Cricetulus griseus: one gene and its partners. The protein of the gene in region 1 interacts with the protein of each later gene in a pairwise test. Links are inferred from orthologs where the notes say so. Each region holds a gene or a part of one and is shown in the gene's direction. Other genes may lie near its edges.

Evidence for each region. The genes of interacting proteins can lie anywhere in the genome.
Region 2: the proteins of Ipcef1 (region 1) and Cyth2 interact in binary tests that used the Homo sapiens proteins (3 or more experiments, as listed by UniProt). The link is inferred for Cricetulus griseus from reciprocal best matches to the Homo sapiens genes IPCEF1 and CYTH2.
Region 3: the proteins of Ipcef1 (region 1) and Cyth1 interact in binary tests that used the Homo sapiens proteins (3 or more experiments, as listed by UniProt). The link is inferred for Cricetulus griseus from reciprocal best matches to the Homo sapiens genes IPCEF1 and CYTH1.

What each region holds. Positions count from the first base shown.
Region 1 is NC_048595.1:284,097,529-284,102,103, reverse strand, and holds the start of Ipcef1 (interactor protein for cytohesin exchange factors 1), read left to right. Parts: upstream 1-1,340; coding exon 1,341-1,499; intron 1,500-4,575. UniProt on the Homo sapiens protein: Enhances the promotion of guanine-nucleotide exchange by PSCD2 on ARF6 in a concentration-dependent manner.
Region 2 is NC_048599.1:154,707,660-154,712,412, reverse strand, and holds the start of Cyth2 (cytohesin-2), read left to right. Parts: upstream 1-1,483; 5' UTR 1,484-1,674; coding exon 1,675-1,693; intron 1,694-1,912; exon of another isoform or gene 1,913-2,763; coding exon 2,764-2,911; intron 2,912-3,007; coding exon 3,008-3,074; intron 3,075-3,551; coding exon 3,552-3,670; intron 3,671-4,194; coding exon 4,195-4,275; intron 4,276-4,753. UniProt on the Homo sapiens protein: Acts as a guanine-nucleotide exchange factor (GEF). Promotes guanine-nucleotide exchange on ARF1, ARF3 and ARF6. Activates ARF factors through replacement of GDP with GTP.
Region 3 is NC_048600.1:130,772,607-130,777,211, reverse strand, and holds the start of Cyth1 (cytohesin-1), read left to right. Parts: upstream 1-1,335; 5' UTR 1,336-1,492; coding exon 1,493-1,520; intron 1,521-4,605. UniProt on the Homo sapiens protein: Promotes guanine-nucleotide exchange on ARF1, ARF5 and ARF6. Promotes the activation of ARF factors through replacement of GDP with GTP.

The sequences.
Region 1 (4,575 bases):
TATTAGGAAGACCACAAAGTTAGTCTGTTGTGAACATTTAACAGCTTGAGATGGAAACAATTATTCTCGGGGTTTATTTAAATACTCAATATTGTTTAGAAATCAAGAGAGAAAAGAGATGTTGTTTCTTCTCTTACAAAAATGTGTAGGTAAAGTATTTCATGATTTTCTAAAACTTCATCAAGCACTGTGCCCTCAATAACCCAAGTAGTAGCGAGAGTTGCTTGTGGGAGGAAACAGGAAGCCCTACAGATAAATGCCCTGTTACCTTTTTCCAGGTTCAGCTCGATGTATATCGATTCTAATTAGCACATTTTGTGCCTCAGCTCGTAGCTCCCCTTGAGCTCTGCTTGGAGAGTCTTTCTTTCTTTCTTTTTTTTTAGAATCCACCCTGCTCATAAACACTGCCGCCCCCTCCCTCCTTCTCCTTTACAAATGTTACAACACAATCAGAAATTGCCTCTTTTCTTTCCTTCCTGCATTTCCAGCAGGTTCCCTTGCGTCAGAAGCCGAGGAAGAAAACTCAAGGTAATTAGATCCCTTTTGTTCCTTTATCCCTTTCTTGTGCCTGTGAGTGTGATTTCTTTTCTTCCTTTCTCCTTGATGCCTTCTTGAAGAGGGGATCGGATTCTTGTCTGTCTGAATTTAATATCAGGAGATGGATGTCAGATTAATTTTGGGGGATTGCTTTTGGACTGATTTTAAGAAAGAATGACATGCTGTTCACTTGGACTAGTCCCTCTGCTTTGTCCACAGAGCATGGAGAAGCTGCCGCTGAGTTAGGAAGTCCCTGGGGTCCTAGGTGGGCTTTAACCCTTCGGTGTCTGTTGCATAACTGCCGCTGTTCCTGTGGGCAGGATCCGTGTGTCTGCTTCAATGTGTCTGCTAGTCCCGAGAGTTGAACGTGTTCAACTTACTCTTTGACTAAGGTTTTCAGATCTATGCTTGCATATAAGTCTCACTGCCTCTTTGCCTGGGTTTTCTAGGCACCGAATGAATGTTTAAAAATAGAACAGATACATAGAATTCCTTTCTTTCTTTCTTTCTTTCTTTCTTTCTTTCTTTCTTTCTTTCTTTCTTTCTTTCTTTCTTTCTCCCTTCCTCCCTCCCCCTCTCTCTCCCTTCCTCTCTCTCTCCCTTCCTCTCTCTCTCTCTCTCTCTCTCTCTCTCTCTCTCTCTCTCTCCCCTTTCTTCCTTTTTCTTTTCCTTTTAACAGTTACTTTGCATGACTGAAAACATCCAACCTTTGCTGTGCAAACAACTAAAAGTTGCCTTTTATTTTGCCACCCGAGTTGGGTCACACTTAACCTGTTCGTATAACCATTGCAGGTTTTTTCAGCATGAGTCGGAGGAGGATATCATGTAAAGATCTGGGCCACGCTGACTGCCAGGGTTGGCTGTACAAGAAAAAGGAAAAGGGAACTTTCCTAAGCAACAAATGGAAAAAGTTCTGGGTGGTGCTGAAGGGGTCATCGCTGTACTGGTACAGCAATCAAATGGTGAGTGGTCCCTCCTCCTCCTGCCCCAGCCTTTACCCAAGAGTGGCTTCTAGAGCTCAGAGCAGGCAATCTCTGTGGGGAAGTTGATCCTGATCTCTGGGAGTTGGAGCAGAGCAAATCAGCAGATTTGATAGAGGACTCATTTCTGCTCCAGGAACTATGTAGGTTAGTGAGCTGTGCTGCTCCGAGGAGAGACCATCTGGCTTTACTATTCTGATTAGAGAGGAAGGAAAAGGGGCTCCAATTACATCCTTGCTTAAGGAGGGAGCTGCTGGGGTTCTACTGATGTTATTGTTCCGTGAGATCCTCATAGTACCACGATCTGTCAGGATATCATTTGCTGTGCGAATTTTACCTTGCTAAGATCCTATTAAAAAGGGACTCAGCATTACTCTCTTCTAAGGGAACAAATCTATCAGTTCAGAGACACAATATCCATCTCTTCTCCCACCGTCTTCTTTCCTCCTGATCTTTGCAGGTATGGGCTGGTTTGGGATTGCTAATCCCTATGCCAGTCTTGCGTAGAGACTGGTGACATTGTTCCACGTTGACATTAGATATGCATTGTGAGGACAATTCTCACTCACGGAGATAGTTGCTGAGTTTGTCCTTTGATAGCCATGTGGTACTGTGGTCAGCTTCATGGATTGACTATTGAAAAAGAGCTGGAAATAAAGTTCTTGCATTGTCTTTGTGGCTGGAGATATTTTGAGAGGGACATTGGTGTTGTTGAAAGTACTCTGTAGAGCTTTGTAGGTAGATGTTCTGTCACTGACTCCACTGCAGGTTTAGGGTCCCTTTTCGAGGGAAGGAAATCTGATAGAGAAGGTTTGTTTAATTACTTAAGGGAATAGTGCTAAATTAAGCCAACCTGGGACTAGGTAGTCTTTCAAACAAACACAGCTTCCTTCTTAAGGGGAATTAAGGTTGATATAAGTACTTAGTGTTTTCTGTTATTTTATTTTAAATTACTGAATTATACTTATTCATTCAGTGTGTGTGTGAGTGTGTGTGTGTGTGTGTGTGTGTGTGTGTGTGTGTGTGTGTGTGTGTACAGGTATCACCAGTTATGGGTGGAAGTCCGAGGACAACTTACAAGAGGGATTTGTCTCTTTTTTTTCCCCATCGTGTGGGTCCCTGGGTTCTAACTCAAGTTGTCACCTATGGCAACAAGTGCTTTCACCTCCTGAGTCATCTCTCCAGACTCTGTTTCCTAGTATTTAGGCTATGGCATTTTAGTAGTTATCACAAGAAATTGCCACCTACATCTTTCTTATGATGAGCTGATCTGAGTTACCCTATAAACAGCCTTGAGGACTTTCTTGAGCCTCTGGGATAGACTGTGTTGTTGGAACATGATGTATCTACAGGATGTAACAGGCTCAGGATTAAGTGGTCAGTTCATCTCATCATTGTCCCTGTCTTGGTAGAATGTGAAAGAAGTCCTTCCTGGAGTCACACAATTGCCACCACTTGGCTCATTTGGCTTCTCCAGCTACTTTTAGGCATAGGAGCTTCCTAATTTTTGGCATCGGGAATCTCACTCTTCTGCATGGAGCAGCCACGTTGGCTTGGACTAAAAAGAGGAAAAGATGGAGTCTTAGATGCCTGTAAGCTCCCCATCCCTGTGTCCTTTTATCAGATGCGGAAAGTAAGCTTAAGGATGCGGATCATGTATTTCAGCACCATTACATTAACAGCATCAGTTTGAGAATAAACTTAGTTGGCCAGGGAAGTAGAGGGTTATTAATGGTGTACCAAAGGAAGGATCTTTCATAGAGGACTTCTCATGTTCTTTTGCTTTCTCTTTCCCAGCCTCATTCCTGACATCTTAATTGTATATTTGTTGTGGGTAGACCTCAATGAAGATGTAATTAGCAGTCATATTCCTGCTATCTGTGTTAATACCAACTGCAAAGTAACAGTCAAACACGCCCTCACAGAAAAATATGCACTTACTGTCTCCACTAGAAGGATTTAGATTTAATTAGCTAAGGCACGTAAGAGTTGACTAATTTCTTCTCCTTCTCCATTCCTTATTCTTCTTGGAGGGCCATCCCTGTTCTCTGTGATTTTGGGTATAGCATGGGCTAGACTTAGCCCATGGAACATCTGCCATATGCCAAGGAATGTTCTAGGTACTCTGCACACAGGCTCTTTCCTATTCTTCAAGAAAAACCTCTAGCTGGTTATGTTGGCATAGGCTTATAGTCTTAGCCACTCAAGAGGCTGAGGCAGGGTGATTGCAGGTTCAAAGCCAACCTGGGCTATAGAATAAGTTCAACCACAGTCCTGTTAATTTAGCGAATCACTGTCTCAAAATGAAAAAAGGAATATAAAAAGTCTGAGGATATAGCTGGCTGGTAGCATGCTTGCCTAGCATGCATGATGTTCAGGGTTCAATCTATGGAAGGAGACAGAGACAGAGACAGAGACAGAGACAGAGACAGAGAGCCTGAGACCTCTGAGGCATGCTTTAAAAGTTGGTAAACTGCTGAAGTCATACATGAAGGAAGTGAACAAAAAGTTCTTCATGTCCAGGCCCCTTTGAGTCCTAAGTTCATACTGATTATGACATGCCACCTTGAATCTCCCTGGGGACCAGATAAATGATGTCATCGTGATACCCTGTTTCTGGAAGGAGACTGAGAGACCATCTCTAGAAGTGACAATTTCTGCTGTGAATGTACAAGCTATCCTATTAGACTGTGGCTCATCCCTGTTGCTGTCAATATTGCCTAAGGACTTTGCCATCCTCTCCTATTTGCTTGTCTGTTGTTGGTACCCAGCAATCAGTGAATGGCTCACCTCCTTTGTGCTCACATTGCTTCTCCCAACACCACTACTCAGGCTTCCTTAGGAAAGATCATCCGCTATTTTCTCACATAGCATTTCATTGGCTTAGAATGTGTCAGAGCACCTGTAGCTTCACACCACGATATATAAGCCTCAAAAATCTCAGCTAGTGAAAAACCTGGAATTAGTCACCATGCTCTCAGTTTCTTGTGCTCTTAGGATAAAACTCAAACTCACTCCCTGGCTTGTGTACCATCTTAGCTGGTATTCTTTCTCCTTT
Region 2 (4,753 bases), on another chromosome or scaffold:
CTGGCTCTCATCTTGCTTTATCCTTCAGAATCCCCAGGTAATAACCGGACAGGATTAATTAGCTGGCAGCTCTCCCACCCCTGGGTCTAGGGCAGGGAAGGACTAGGGATGATGGAGACCATAGTGGAGAAAATTGCTAAGCTGATGTAAAGAGGCAGGGGCATGTGGTTCTATTGGGAAGTAGAGGGTGGGATAGGATTGGCACAACCAGGTCTCCAGCAAGGGAGGGCATGGGTCAGGCCACTCATAAAGGTCAGAGAGGGGATTAGGAGGCTCCATGACTAATCCAAAGACTTAACCAAGTCCTGGCTCTGAATCCTCCCGACCTGTGCAGCCCAGGGACACAAATGAGGACAAGACCTGGAAGTCACATCAGCCCCATTATGGGCCTATGATTTACAAATATGCCAGAGTCCCCATCACAGACAGGACCCTCACTGCTTTTCCTGCAAAACAGAAAGGATTCTGGGAGGGGGAGGCGATTAAGAAGGGCAGGACTTTGAGGACTGAAAAGCTGGGTGGAAGGAGGACCTAACCACAGAGACCTGGAGTGCTGCCAAGAGAGTCAGTGCACATTCTGGAGGCAGAGGCAGACAGATCTCTGTGAGTTCGAGACCAGCCTGGTCTACAAGAGCGAGTGCCTGTGACAGGCTCCAAAGCCAAGAGAAGCCCTGTCTCGAAAAACCAAAAAAAAAAAAAAAAAAAAAAAAAAAAAAAAAAAAAAAAAGATTCTGAGGGAAGAGGATGTCTTGGGCAAATATCTGGGGAAGGCGGGATTTTAGGAGGAGGAAGCTAAGACGAGCGTTTAGGAGAGAGGAAGAGCCTGAAAGAGAGAAAGCACCAGGAGGGTAGATCCAGGGTATTTGTGGTCCCCAATACATTTGGAAGGGATAATGCCTTTATTTTACCATCCTTTGACTGAGGAGACTGAGGTGTGGAGGAAAGTCACGTGAGGTGGTACGGAAAGAGTTCAGAGACAGCCACTGCCTGAGACAGAAGTACCCTGAGGAAGAAGGCAAAGACAGGACTGTGCGGCTCCCAGTTGCTTGGCAACCGCCGCGGTCAAAAGCTAGCGTGGAGGGCCAGGAGGTGTGGTCCCAGGAAACACCTCAAGGTTGAGACTCCGCCCTTGACAACAAGACTAATCAAATACCACCCCCTAACAACGAATTTCTGAAAAGGTTAGGCCGTCTTAGTCTGGCTCGTGCGCAGGCGCAATCCTCCCTGCTCCACGAATCCCCACCTCCTGCTCCCTCCTTTTTGAGTTTTCTTATTGGAGGATAAAGCTGCCAGGGATTTTCCTTTGTTTCGGGGGCGGGACCAAGCCCCTGGACGCACTTCGATTGGTCACTCTAACAGTCTATCGCTAGCTGTACGTGCCTGCAACCGCTTCTTGTGTGTCTATTGGTCCTGGAAATGATCCTGTGGTTTCGGGGGCGGAGCAGTCTGGGAGACCCGCAGCCGATTGGGTGGTGTCAAAGCGAGGGGCGGGCCCCAGCGGCCGGGCGGTTGGGCCGTGAAGGGAGAGTCTTTTCGGCGCTGAGGACTGGCGCTGAGGAGGCGGCGGTGGCTCCTGGGGCGTTTGAGCGGGCTCACTCGAGCCCGCGGGCCGACGCGGACTCAGGCCCAGCCGGCGGAACCGCCCCGGACTCCCCGCGGGCTTTTCTAGCCGCCATGGAGGACGGTGTCTACGGTAGGCCAGGCGAGGCGGGAGGGCGGAGTGGCTCCCAAGCCCCGCCAAGGACAGCCGAGCGGTGGTAGCGAGGCGCTCTTGTGCGCGCGGAACGGGCTTCCGGCGCGACCGAGAGCCGGGGGTCCCGGCCATTGTTTGGGCCGAGCCCTCTTCCGGCGGCGGCGGGCGGGGCGGGGCGGGGGGGCGGGGCGGAGCGACAAGAGCGGGGCGGGGCGGGGCGGGACGTACACCCGCGCGAGCCGCTGCCTTTCTTGCTGCGAACCTTGGTTCTGTGACCTCCCTACCGATCCTGACCCCGGTCGTGATGCCATGGCTTGTCTTCACTGAGCACCCAAGATTCAGACCACAGATCCAGGAGCCAGAACCTCGGTTCCTTTCCAAGAAAGGCACCCAGGATTCAGGACCCCAACTCTCCCACTATTGTGGAGCCAGGGATCAGGCCTCCTTACAAGAAATGTATCCAAGCTCCATGCCAGGGTCCCCACCGTGGTGGACCCAGGAACCAGAGTATTGGTGTTTTTCCAAGAAATGCACCCAAGGTCCAGGATCCCAGGTCATCAGCCATGATGGAGGGACCTGTTACCTTCCAAGAAATACACCCAGGATCTGGGGCCCCAGATCCCTTGCGATGATGGAGCCATGAGCCCAAGGCCCTGTGTCCTTCCAAGTAATGTTTTCAATATCCAAGCCTCCCGTTCTACTGTGATGGAACCAAGGAACCAGGGCATCCAAGTAAAACATCTAAAGTAACATCCCAAGAGTTCCTCATTGTGGTGATGGGTCCAGGAGCCCAGGGACTGGTTCCTTTCCAAGTAATACACCCAAGATTTAGGTCCACACTTTCATGATGAAGGCAGGGCTCCATCTTTCCAAGTAATGGGCCCAGAAGTTCATCCCCAGACCTATTAAGAGATGAGATTCCCAGGCACTTCTGCCCCAGACTAAGGGTTCAGAGTCTTACTCCCTCTTCCCTAAGAGTTGTAGTAGCCATTTCTCTTCTGGACAGGAATCCAGGCTCTTAGCCTTAATCTTGGCCCCCCCAGAACTCATTTCCTGACCCTGACTCCTAGAGCCCCCAGACTTGACTCCGGAGGAGCGCATGGAGCTAGAGAACATCCGACGGCGTAAGCAGGAGCTGCTGGTGGAGATCCAGCGCCTGCGAGAGGAGCTGAGTGAAGCTATGAGTGAGGTGGAGGGTCTGGAGGCCAATGAGGGCAGGTGAGGACTGTGGCGAGCTCGTGGGACACAGGGCTTGGCCAGGGCCCTGGATGCTCAAGTGTTGACCTTTGGCTGCTGCCCATCCTGCTTTTGCAGTAAGACCTTGCAGCGGAACCGGAAGATGGCAATGGGCAGGAAGAAGTTCAACATGGACCCCAAGAAGGTTAGTTAGCTGAGCAGATATATTCAGGCATGGTTTTGATATCCTAGGTTCTAGAAGTGTTAAGATAATAGGTTTCCTCTAGGCAAGACTCCTGATCCCTGTCCATCTGTTCCATGAATGTTCATGTACTGAGGCCTCTGGGAGCCCGGTCCTGTGCTGGGCAATGCTGGGAATGCTAAGACCCTGCCTTACTCTGAGGGATCCCCCTAGGTGTAAGTGCTACAGTTCAAGGTGAGATATGGCAGTAAGGGAGGGGTGCTGTGTTTACAGCTTGATGGGTAGGTATCTGCTTCTTTTTTTATACAGTGTATCATGTATTCAATTATTCTTCAAACCTGTTCCAGCTATACATGCCGGAATCAGTTAGGCAGAGGTTGAGAGGATGGGCTAGGGATGACCATGCTCTGTTAGGGTGGAGAGGCTTGGATGGGGAGCAGCAGCCTCTGCCTTGGCATAAATCTGGCATCCTCCATCCAGGGGATCCAATTCTTGGTAGAACACGAACTTCTGCAGAACACACCTGAGGAAATTGCCCGCTTCCTGTACAAGGGTGAGGGGCTGAACAAGACAGCCATTGGGGATTACCTCGGGGAAAGGTGAGCTGCCCAGCCTGTACAGTAGTACTCCCAGCCTCAATAGGAGTTCATGGGTAGAGCAGGTTTGTGGCCTCCACCTGGGTCATGATATAGTGGACTGACTGGCTCTGAGGGAGCTTGAAACTAGAGGGAGATGGACCTGTAGTCATCCAGTAAACAAGGACACTGTTGAAGTCTGAGTGTCACTGGCTTAACCACGCATATACAAGCTAGCATATGGAAAGTATTGTCTGGAAGTTTTTATCATGGGTCAGAGCTGCAAGTGTTTGGAGACCTGTGGACATGTGATTGCATAGCAACTGGGAACTAGCTATGAATTCTTAGACAAAGGTCAGTTCTGAGATAAAGGCATCTGGGAAGCGTGAGAGCAGTTGCAAGATGACATCAGGTGGTCTGTGTACTCAAAGATCTGACAAGCTACAAGAACAAGGTTCATCTGCAGGAGGGTGGCATAGTAAATGAGATGATACTGCTATGGCTCCTGTCACTCCTCCTGATGGGACTCTCTCTCTTCCCTCCTCCAGGGAAGAGCTAAACCTATCTGTGCTCCATGCTTTTGTGGATTTGCATGAGTTCACCGACCTTAATCTGGTGCAGGCCCTGCGGTGAGAATGGGACAGAAATGTACCTGCCAGGACTTTCTCAGTTGTGAGGAACATACCATTCCAACAGAGATGCAACAGTCAGGAAATGACTGTCTCTAATAAACAAGTTCAGATGGGGCCTCCTTCAGGCTTTCTCTTGGTGTATTCAGTGGATCTTCCTACATGACAGCAAAAAAGCACCTGGCAACCCCAGTCCAGTTTAGCCAACTCGGGGTAGAAAAAAGACTTTTCCACTATAGATCCACCAGAATCCATGGCCAGAACCTACTGGTCTGATCAAATTACATGCCTACTGAAATAGCAGCTGGGGCAAGAGATTTTGATTCTGTTTGTTTGGGGGGTTGGGGTTCAGACAGCATTTCACCGTGTAGCCCTGATTGGCCTGGAACTCAGTAGACCAGGCTGGACCCGAATTCACAGAGATCCACCTGCCTCTCCCTCCTTCCTGGGTGCTGGGATTCAAGGTGTGCATCACAAT
Region 3 (4,605 bases), on another chromosome or scaffold:
CAAAGGCAAAAGCAGACCAGTGAGATTTTATCAAACTAAAAGCTTTTGAGAAAAAAATATTTGTAAACTGTGTAGAATAGGAACCAAGTAGGAGAAACAGTCTAATTAAAAAAAGAAGCCAAGCGTCCGGGCATGGCGGTGCATGCCTGCTCCTTAGCACTTGGGAGGCAGAGCAGGCAGGTCAAAGTTGAGGTCACTGTCAGCTAGGTAGGGAGTTTGAGGCCCCAACTTATTGGGGCCAAATGAGGCTGTCTGAAACAGACAGATGGAAAAATAACAGGAAAACAAAGCAGGAGATAGAAATATGCCCCTCCCCCTTTGTTAAGTTTCTTAAGATAGGGTTTCAATGTGTAACTGCCCTGGCTGTCCTGGCACTCGCTCTGTAGACCAGGCTGGCCTTGAACTCACAGAGATCTGCCTACCTCTGCCTCCCGAGTGCTGGGATTAAACCAGCACCACCAATGCCCGGCTTACTTTGGTTTTTGAGACAGGGTTTCTCTGTGTAGCCCTAACTGTCCTGGAACTTGCTCTGTAGAAGGCTGGCCTCTAACTCAGGTATCTGCCTGCTTCTGCCTCCTTAATGCTAGGACTAAAGGTGTGCGCCACCACACCCAGCTTCCTGATATAGCATTACTATGATTTGCATTTATTTATTGTGCTGGGGTGGGGGACTATGCATGCATCGTGAGAATGTGGAGGTCAGAAGACTACTTGTGGGAGTTGGTTGTCCCCTCCCACCTTTATATGCATTTTGGGGTCCACCTTGATCTTCAGGCTGTGTGATGTGTCAAGTTCTTTACCCATCGGGCCATCTTGCCAGCCCCACATTCATAATATGAGTGGGAAGTCCTCAATACAAGAGATGACATTTAAGGACAAAGAGATGCCAAACATTGTGTGTATGGAATGATCCGTCTGAATCCCGTAAACGTGCAATTGCAGAAATCAGAGTGGGGTTGGAATGACCTTACACTTTGAGGAGTGTGGCCCTTGATTTTCCCAACCCTGGGCCATGCCCCTGCTTTTAGCTGGGACATGATAGCATGCTGTGGTGATTGCCATCTTTTGTGGCTGTCTTATGGATGTCAGTGAGCTACTTTCTCACTGGGAGATGACGGGTTTGGGGTGATTCCTGGTGAAGCAGAGAGTAGCAGCTGCTGTGTCCTTGCTTGGGTGAGTGAGGGTGGGGTGGGCCCTCTGCTGAGCTGGTGTGATGACTCAGTGCTGTTTAACATGCTGAAGGAGCTTGAGCTTTACTTCAGAACTGGGTGGTGACAGAGACTGCAGTGACGTCTGCAGAGGGTGCAGGCTAATTGGTCCCCTGTGCCACTAGCTGTTCCTCTGGTAGTCCAAAAGCAGCCCTGAGCTGTTCTAGTGGCTCCCTGTAGGAGTTCCTAGCCTCACCCAACCCACAGTCCAGGAAACTGCTCAGAATACTTTGCTGAGTGAGTTAGCAGCAGAGCCCACCTGTCCTGCCCTGAGAAGCCCAACAATGGTTCTTAAAGGAGAAGGGGAGGACGGTGAGTCTCAGCCCAGACTAGACCCAGGGAGGATGGTGAGTCCCAGCCCAGACTAGACCCAGGGAGGATGGTGGGTCCCAGCCCAGACTAGACCCAGGGAGGATGGTGAGTCCCAGCCCAGACTAGACCCAGGGAGGATGGTGAGTCCCAGCCCAGACAGCCCCAGAGGGTCCCAGGTAGGTAGGTGGTTGTCTGAGGGTCTCTTTGGACTCATCTATGAGCCCCTGTAAGGAAGGCTTTACGGGACCTTTGTAGCTGGGTTTGGTCAGAGTTTGGTTTTTACCCTGTTCCTTTCAGAAGATCTGCAGTGTGCTGAGTAAGACTAAGGGGTGTGTGTGTGTGTGTGTGTGTGTGTGTGTGTGTGTGTGTGTGTGTGTGTGTGTGTCTCAGTCAGGGGAGAGAGGCAGACAGAGTGAATAAATACGAGATTCTAAATGATGTGGCAAGAGTCATCCCGGCTTCTACCGCCTTTGCTTTGTGCAAGACAGTAATGTTCTGGGAGGCACTTAGTCTCCTGCTTGCTGGCCATTTACTGGCTCCTAGGAGCAGTTGGGCCACAGATGTGGGAACTGTGTGCCACAGTGAAGCTGGGCTGAGAAGTAAAGACATCACTGGGTTATGCCATTAAAATCGGCATCAATGGTTCTTGCTTTTCCTAAAGGAAGGAGAGGCTTCCTCTTTCTCTGTGGGGTGAAGACGGTTTGAAGTCTCATGGTGCTTCCCTCACTGTCCCCCAATCCAGCTGTAAACAGCGGAGCTGTGAGTCAGGAGCTGAGACTCTGGGCAGTCTCCCTGCTGTACCCTCCTTGGCTCAACTACAGTGCTTCAGCCCTGAGGCAAAAGAGGGCAAGTGTGACCAGCCGCAGCTAGTGTGGGTATTACAGTAAACCAGACTTGGAGATGAGGCCGCTTCAAGAACGATTCCAGGGAAACTGACTGTGTCTTTCACTTCCCTCTCCTGGCGTACTGAACACACACTTGAAGTCTCACCTCTAAAGAGAGCTCTCCCCCGGCAGTTTCCATGAGGCTGCCTGTGTGGAAAACTCTATTGTGGGTACAACTTCTGAGTGAGAGGGACATGCTATCTTTATTGCAGTACCTTTGCTTCCAAAGAGGGGCGTGGTAATTGGGGCCGAGGCCAGGCCAGGGTATGCTGCCCACTGGGAGCGGTTTTTTTGTTGTTGTTGTTGTTGTTGTTTTTTTTTTTTTTTTTTTTTGGTATTTTTTGGAGTGATGAATACACATTAGCCCTGGTATCCAGCTCCAAGGGAAAGAGTTCTGAGAGAAGAGGAGGGCACAGAATAAAATGGTAGAATAATCAGAGTGAGACTGCCTAAGGAGGTCAGCAGTGATCCATGTCACATCTTCAAGGCTTCTGGCTGTCAGTAGCTGCCCCCAGCTCCACACTGGGCTAGCAAGTGTGGAATAGTGACTTTAGCCAGAGGACTCATATGTGTTTGGGTTCCCCATTGCCCTGTAGGCTTTAAAGTGTCTTCAGATGCCCTGAGTGTGGGTACAGGCCTAAATCCAGGCTGGGGTGATGGGCCTGGGGCAGGCCTAGGGCAGAGCTTGAGGGATTGGATCAGCTCTAATTATAGTGAACAACCCTGAAAAGCCAGTGCCCCGTCTCCCACCCCTCCTGAAGTCTCCTATTTGGTACAAAAGGGAAGAGTGTTGCCCTTTTAACCACTGCTAAAGTAGATTCCCGAGCTGTAGCCACAGAAACAGGACGGCATTTAGGTGGGTGTAAAAGGGAAGAGAACACGTGGGGTTTCCTGTGGCAAGTCCCTAAGGTCCCCAAGGAGGAGAGAGGGCGCTTCTCAAGGAGCTATCTCCCCCAGACTTGCTGTCCTGAGTGCCTGCCTGCTCAGTGGTGAGGGCTCTGGCCAGACGCTCCGAAGGCAGGCCCTTCCGCTGTGCACACCAGCTGTGCAGCCTTCACATCCTTCTTTTAAAAAGATTACATGGATTTATTTATTTTTTACTTACTTATGTGCATGAACGTTTTGCCTGCATGTGTGTAGCACATGTGTACCTGATGTCCTAGAGTCAGAAGAGGGCATAGGATCCCCTGGAACTGGAGATATAAAAGACTGAGCCACTGTGGGTGCTGGGGGTCAGACCTGGGTCCTCTGGAAGAGCAGCCAGTGCTCTGACTGCTGGATCCCCTCTCCTTTCTTCTCTGCATGGAAATAACCGGCTCTTCTCCAGCATCGTGTGTTATTTGCCTAATGAAGAGTCACCAATATCATCAACTGGGCCTGTTTCCTTAACTGCTGCAGGGTTGCGTCTGGTAGATTAGCTATTTGAGCTCATCTGCTTATGTGTAGTCCCCCTTGGTTTTCCACTGAACCCTCTCTTTAGGATGGAATTGAGACTCCTCAATGTGTATCCCTGGCCTTCCACAGCAGGCGCTAAGGCTCCTCCTGGGCTCTCTGGCCCTGACTCGTAGTGTGCCCACCATCCTTGAGCTTTCGTATATCACTCGGGATTCGCCATCCCCACAGCGTCTCTGTTTTGGAATGGCTGATCATTAAGTCCTGGGTCCAGCTGGCCCTTCCGCAGCATCTCGGCATGTCCCTGGCATGCACAGACACCGCGCCAGGTTGCTGCTGCCACAGCCTTGCCCGCCTCTCCCCACTGGCAAGGCTGGGTCTGGAGCTATTTAAGTCCCAGTTCCAAGCACAGGCTGCGCCTATGGCAGATGCTCAGCAAATGCTAAACGAATCTGTAGGTTTCAGTAGGAGAATCAATTGCTAAGGACCAGTTGAGGATCAGGAGTGTGAAGCAGGCTGTCGGTGTAGGATCTGTGCCTCATTGAGGAACTGGCAGGAGCAGTTCAACTCAGGGAACAGTTCAGACCTGAGCTAAAAGGACTCAAAAGCGTCTGAAGCTATGAGGTACTAAAGGGTATAAAGTAGTATTACTTATAGGAAAACACGCCAAATAGAGTTGTATATGGGGCCTCTTGGGTAGAACACTAAGTTTTCAGTTCACCTTGATCTTAACTTGGCTGGCAGCAGCATCCTGGTGACCTGTGTCCTGGTTTGGGACAAGCTGCTTGGTAGGTGTTAGAAGGAAGACC